Kluyveromyces lactis: one gene and its partner. The protein of the gene in region 1 binds, or shares a complex with, the protein of each later gene. Links are inferred from orthologs where the notes say so. Each region holds a gene or a part of one and is shown on either strand. Other genes may lie near its edges. The genes, in order: SAC1 and VPS74.

Region 1 (3,878 bases):
GGCAGGTGCTTCAGCGATCTCTGTATTGACCGAACCTCACTGGTTCAAAGGTTCCATTGAAGATTTGAGAAATGTAAGAAAAGTGTTGGAGGTGGCATTTGCCAATGACGAATCGAAAAGACCATGTGTATTACGCAAAGAATTCATTTTCTCAAAGTACCAAATCCTAGAAGCTAGACTTGCAGGCGCTGATACTGTGCTATTGATCGTGAAGATGCTTGACGACAACTTGTTGAAGGAACTGTACGATTATGCAAAAAGTTTGGATTTAGAACCTCTAGTGGAAGTAAACTCCGCAGAAGAACTAAAACGTGCGTTGGCAATTGGATCAAGAGTGATCGGAGTTAATAACAGAGACTTGCACTCTTTCAACGTAGATTTGAGTACTACCTCAAAATTGGTCAGTTCTGTACCAGAGGGAACCCTACTAATTGCTTTATCTGGAATAACAATAGCAGCTGATGCTGATCAATATAAAAAGGAAGGTGTTCATGGTGTTCTTGTTGGAGAAGCTCTCATGAGAGCTGAATCTGTAAATAAATTCATCGAGGAGCTAATCAACTAATGATACCAGTCCATTTCATCCTTCGTTATGTATGTATCCACCAACTTGTAATGATTGTATTTCTGTAATTTTAGATATAGACGTTAAAGTAAGAATGATACAGATACTATAAATTCAAAAGGTATCGAACATTAAAACTGGGAAGAAGAAGTCATAAAAGTAGAAACGTCATGGAGTAAATAAACATGAAAATGAAAGCTCTATACATTAAGGAATGTTCAATGCTAGTCCCTCTTGAAGGAATTTGGTTTAACGAACTTTGGATCAGGAACGTATCTAACACCTTTGAATTGTTTCTCCTTGTTATGCGTGTGCTCAGCAATCAAATACCCTAAATCGACTAACTTTGGCCAGTTCACATATTGAATACCCCTCTTAAATACGAAATGTGTGCATAAGACAACAATACTGAAGGATCCGAAAAAGAAAGATAGATTCTTCGCACTTGTGAAATGATTCTTGGGGAAAAGTATAGTTGCCATCATAACTGTGAGGGCAGCGTAGATCATGGTAGGAACCGCTTGAATTAGCATTGGTCTTCTATCTGGGAATGGTGAATGGACCACACTTGCGTAAGGTCTGAAATTTCCCAGGAACAAATCGAATGCATCTTCCCTTGGGCCATCTGTCAAATTGTTTTGATAGTAACGAGAAATAGAGTTAATACCATCCTTTATAGCACCTAGGTAAGTACGTTTGCCAGTTCTAGTGAAATCGGTCTTCAATGCCCCAGTACCTGAATAAGCAACACTGACAGCGTCTGCGTTATCTGCCCAAAAGCTTTGGAATTCAAACAACAAGTTCTTGTCTAATTCCCATAAGCCGGTATCGTCGGTCAATCCAACAGTCTTAAACTCTTCTTGTAACACCCAATGAGCTAACACGGATTGAACCACATTAGTTCTGTCCAGGCAATCCATACAGTTAGTTCTAACCACCGATTGCTGCTTGGAGAAAACTTGCAGTGTAACACCATTAGCATCCAAAGTCTTGTGGAAGAAATCTTTATTGGACAAGCCCATTGATTGCAAATGATCCAATAACAATTTGACCTTGTGCCATTGCATATTCCTACATTCGTGATGGAAATCGAAGTAGATATAGTGAAGCTTTGGGTCATTTAAGGCAGTAACAACCTGTTCGTAAGCTTCCTTCACAGGTAATTCGTGTCCCTTTTGATTGACTAGATTCACCAAATAGTTTTCATTGTACAACCGAGTTTGTTCATCGAAATGCTTCTTGGTTGCATCTAACGAGCTGTTCTCAGCCAACAACAAGTTCGGCTTGTACTTTAAATTGTTCAACTCTGCCCAATAAACTGGCACGGAACCCCTCGTTTGTAAAAAAGAGAAGAAGTGATAGCCATCCTTCATTGGCTTTTGAACACACAGCACCTGCTCTGTCTCGTTGAAGTTACCAACATTACCGTGTTCGTCAATGCCTCTGCGGAAATATCTAGTTCCGGCCCTAAATATACTCCTTCTCGTGATCAATCCAATCGAAATCGGAGTCGCATGGAAAACAGTATCAACAACCTTAGCATACCCATAGATCATAGGAATAATGAAGTCTGATACCCTGTCATCAACTTTAGCAAGCTTCTGCAAGGATTCTGTCACGTAATAGTTCCAAAAGAACCTCCTGTCCGCTTGTTCCCACGACACAGCTGATGACTCTAGTTCTTCGTTCCTTTGAGCACTGTTTGTCAAATCGTAACCATACGAATAGAACAGAGTCGCACCAGCTAAATGCTGTTCCAATAACTGCAAATACTGAGACTCATCAGAATCTGGTCTCTGCTTCTTATCAACGCTGATAATCGTGTGCTCAGCCACCTTGTACACATTATGACCGTTCAAACAACCAGCTTCCTCGACTCTATTGGCAATAATCACGTACTTACCGAACTTCAACTTGATGATACCGATCAACGCAGCCACCTTCATGATATTTCCACGAACAGGAAACTCAGTACTGCCCAAAACGTTCACCTCGTTCTCGTGTGTTGACACATTTAGAACCGCGTCGTTCTTCGAAGAAGAACTGGCTACCTTTAACAGGACCCTATCCTTCTCCTGGCACACAAGTAACGGACCTCTCATTTTCTAAGGAGATTCTCAGAGCACTGAATTGAATACGATTCAGCAAATTCAGGTACAATTGGATCCTCTGTTGGCGTGTCTCGTGTACTTGATAAACTAATTCATGATAAAGTTGCGTAACTGAATTTGTTTATTTCGAAAGTTTGATTTAAACAACTAAGCGAATGTCAAAAATAAAGGTATTAGCGTGGGAAAGAGCAACTACTGAATAAAACAGGGCTTTCCAAGTATACAAAGTATTTTAATCAGGTTCAGGTGATTTTATTTGATAGGTCTAATAGTTGTAATTGTACTGGTACCAATTTTAAGTGAGAGATGTACCAACTTAGCGCACAATTGCGTGGTCACACACAGGACGTGAGGAGTGTGGTTTCTTTAAGTACGACTCAGGTGGCAAGTGCCTCTAGAGATGGTACAGTTAGGATATGGAATTTGGATGCGGATGGGAATTGGGAAGGTTCTATTGCGTTTAGCAGTGAAAAGTTTGTGAACAGTTTGACGTACGATGCTAAGCAGTGTGTTCTATTTTGCGGTGGCCAAGAAAAGATTATTTACGGTGTGTCTCCGTTGCTTGCTCTGGGGCAAGAACCGGTTTATACTTTAGTAGGCCATGAGGGGAACATTTGCTCACTTTCTGGAGACTTTGAAAGCCTAGTGAGCTCCTCTTGGGACAAGACTGCTAAAGTGTGGACTAATGGGATTGTAAAATGGGAACTTAAGGGACATTCGGCCTCTGTATGGGATGCCAAGCTCTTGAACGATGGGAGCGTCCTTACAGCGTCAGCAGATACTACAGTTAAGTTATGGAAAAATGGTACGCTGGCTAAGACTTTTGATAAGTTACATTCCGATGTGGTTAGAAATATATGTATTCTTGACGATGGAAAGCATTTTGTTAGTTGTTCCAACGATGGTACTTTGAAGCTATCCAACTTGGAAGGCGGTATTTTGCACGAGTTTATAGGTCATGAAAGCTTTGTCTATGCTGTGAAACAACTGCCAAGCGGAGATATTGTGTCTTGTGGTGAGGATAGAACCGTTCGTATTTGGAACATGGATGGAACTATCAAACAAGTCATTACTTTACCAGCGATCTCCATTTGGACCGTCGATGTGTTACCCAATGGCGATATTGTTGTTGGTAGCAGTGACAAAATCATCAGAATCTTTACTGAGAATGAGCAAAGACTTGCATCCCAGGAAGAGATCAC
Region 2 (2,965 bases), on another chromosome or scaffold:
AGAATGGTCAGATGTAACCGGATATCATAGTAACTTGTACCTTCAGGGACATTCCCACAGGAGAAGTTTGAGTAATAGAATATCAAACAGTTCTCTTTCATCAGACACCGCAGTGAAACTTATGACCGATAGACATAACATATCTTCACGTAGAATAGCACTTGGTATGGCGGCCTATGGACGTGGTTTCACCAATGTCGAAACAAATGATGATAATTATCTTGGCAAGAAATATCACGGAGTTGGGGGTGGATCTGAGGGTGAGCCAGGGATTTGGTTATATAATCAACTACCGATCGATGGTAGCAAGGAACAGTTTGACTCAAATGCAGTCTCAGCTTACTGCTTTGATCCTAAATCCAGAACATTTGTGGGGTATGACAATGTTCAATCCATGGATATCAAGGGAAAATACATCAAGAAGAAAAACTTGAACGGTGGATTTTGGTGGGAATCTTGTGGGGATTCCAAAGACCCCAGGAAGTCACTAGTTAACGCATTTAGTAAGGAAATTGGCCTGTCTGAAGGCTTTGTATCATTGTTCAAAAGCGATAAAGTAAAGCAATTTCATTTACAAAAGTACCCCAAGGATTATATTTCAAGTCTTTTCCAGAAGCTCTAACTTCAGCCTTTCATATCAGATTTCAATGAATGAATATCATTACCAAGTAATGGAATTTGTGCTCAAATCGAGTTTACATTGTGATTTAGAACTAGTCGGATATTGTCCGTAGAATTTTTGAGATACAAGTATATATATATATGTGAATGATCCACACTGTTCTTCGAATCATAATACTATGGACTTTATAACAATGTGTCCATACGTGAAAAGACCTCAAAAACTCCAGCAACAACTTCAAGTTGCAAATCTGAACCCGGATGATTATTTAATTCCTGTGAAATCTCTTTATTTAAGTTCACTGAAACACCGGTGCTTGTTTGTTTATCGAGTGGGAACGGAAATTCTGAAAATTGAGCTAGAATTTCATCCGCACGAGCAAACCCTGTATCTCTCACTTCGTAATCTAAGGTAGCCAAGACATTTTCTAGAACATTAGCACCATAAGCACCACAGATTAAAGACAAGGTTCTAATATATTTAAAGGAAACATCTTGTGGGAAATAGGTATTATAAGTCAATTCAGCATTCCTTGAAACCAGTATCGATAGTATTCTTCTTTTAATAGATTCCTTGCAAGTTGTATCAGTGATCGGGTGTGTGGCCATGTCAAACAAAAAGAAGTTCTTCATTTCAGTTCTCAAAACACCTTTGTCAACCAATCCCTTTGCTAATCTTTCCCTAACTTGTTTCAATTGATAATTGATCTTTAGGAGATTCCAAGTCTCGCCACTAAGTAGGTCAATCCATCCGACAATTGAAGTTGGTGGATCGTTCTTCATTAAAGATAAACTTTCATCAAGTAAGACCTCGCCAGTTTTACTTCCGTCTATGACTTCAATTAATCTCTCACTGACATCGTATCTCTTTCTTGCTGGATCATCAACACATCTAATCTTACCTCGTAACGCTAGTTCTATCAAGATGCACCCACGTAGGGCGTACGAGATATTATCGTTCCAGAATGATAAATATCCCTGTTTATCCTTTAGTCCCATCAACAAAACTTCCTCCATTAAGGTCAACTTAGGAACACTAGTGTTGTCCCTTAGTTTCGCCTCTTGCTCGTCATATACAATCTTATGATCATGCTCATTATCTATTTGAGGGATTGATTCCGTTGTATCACCTTTATTAACTCGGCGACGCTGTAAAGACATGATGAATTTTTACCCTATTTTTTCGGCGTGCAACTTTGCAAGTTCACTTCTTGACAAGTCACAGTCCAATTGTCGGATAACAGAATTCCAATCCTACCTTCAAGTCAAACCTAATGACTTAAAGCCAATTGTGACACGAAGAGTAAATCTTTAAAATCATTCACCATAGATATAAACTAGGTTTGATCAAAATCAGTTAGTTATTTTTCATTTTGATGTTTTTTTTTTTCAAATTAGATCAAGGTAACTAACTAATTAAGAACTCCTGCCTGCCTTGCGAAAATCAATTTACCCTCACATGTGGATATTGAATCGAAGATAGTATCCGCACAGTAAGCCTAACTGAACGCCAGATCTTATAAATTTTACCAATTCCTGCATTACATACTGATCTATCTTTTAATTAATATAATGTAAATCATATTTATGCCACTTTAAGAGCGACACGGGTTACTCCTGTTGTTGAAGAATTCGTTTCAATGGTTCGATAGTTTCTTGTTCTTGACCTTCACGGACGTAGACCAAAAAGTATGGAGTGGCCGTATTACCCTCCGTGAAGTTGAATACTTCCGATTGTGGCACCTCTGTAACTGAGTCATCATTATACTTCCTCCAGATACCATTTTTGGTGTGATCTTTAATATAGACCCAGTAATGGCCGTAACTTGCTTCACCACGATGAATGAAAACGGCGAATAAAGAATAGCCGATATGTTTGAATTCGCTGAACTGTTGGGAAATAGTTGTCTCTAGATCTGTAATTTTGTTGAATAAGCTCTTTAGTTCCTCGTCTATGTTATTGATTAAAATATCAATGTAGGCGATCGATGAGGGGATATTGTCCGCATCAATATCGTGCGCTTTCAAGGTACCGGACTGTAAGAACTTTTTGGTCTCAATGAGCGAGGATTTTAAAGTTAATCCTATTTCGTTCTGTGAGAGTAGTTTCCTCTGTCTTTGCTTTAAGTCTTGAAGTTTCTGTTTCAATTCTGCGTTTTGTTGAATTTCTGCTAATAGTTTTGGATCCTCGGTAGCCATATATCTATCCATGTACAACGTTTCGCCGAAAGGTAGCGGCTCGATAGACTTGAAAGGCATGAATTTTTCTCTATCATAATAGACTCTCTGGATTTGAATTTGTAGAACCGCAGGTAACTCTGAGATAGATACAGTTCTCTTTACA

Evidence for each region.
Region 2: the proteins of SAC1 (region 1) and VPS74 are in contact, whole or in part, in a crystal structure (PDB 4TU3), measured with the Saccharomyces cerevisiae proteins. The link is inferred for Kluyveromyces lactis from reciprocal best matches to the Saccharomyces cerevisiae genes SAC1 and VPS74. Residues at the interface, in NP_012710.1 of Saccharomyces cerevisiae: Gln9, Tyr69, Ile95, Ser97, Thr98, Lys99, Phe100, Asn101, Ser102, Arg103, Ile104, Ile112, Glu116, Lys120; in NP_010660.1 of Saccharomyces cerevisiae: Ser164, Gly165, Glu166, Thr167, Trp168, Asn169, Leu170, Leu171, Lys172, Ile173, Gln176.

What each region holds. Positions count from the first base shown.
Region 1 is NC_006038.1:1,261,634-1,265,511, forward strand, and holds SAC1 (phosphatidylinositol-3-phosphatase SAC1), read right to left. Parts: upstream 2,668-3,878; coding exon 790-2,667; downstream 1-789. Other genes in the region: TRP3 (bifunctional anthranilate synthase/indole-3-glycerol-phosphate synthase), read left to right, coding at 1-565; DOA1 (Doa1p), read left to right, coding at 2,983-3,878. UniProt on the Saccharomyces cerevisiae protein: Phosphoinositide phosphatase which catalyzes the hydrolysis of phosphatidylinositol 3-phosphate (PtdIns(3)P) and phosphatidylinositol 4-phosphate (PtdIns(4)P). Has low activity towards phosphatidylinositol-3,5-bisphosphate (PtdIns(3,5)P2).
Region 2 is NC_006041.1:216,415-219,379, forward strand, and holds VPS74 (Vps74p), read right to left. Parts: upstream 1,783-2,965; coding exon 808-1,782; downstream 1-807. Other genes in the region: CTS2 (putative chitinase), read left to right, coding at 1-622; ubiquitin-specific protease UBP2, read right to left, coding at 2,233-2,965.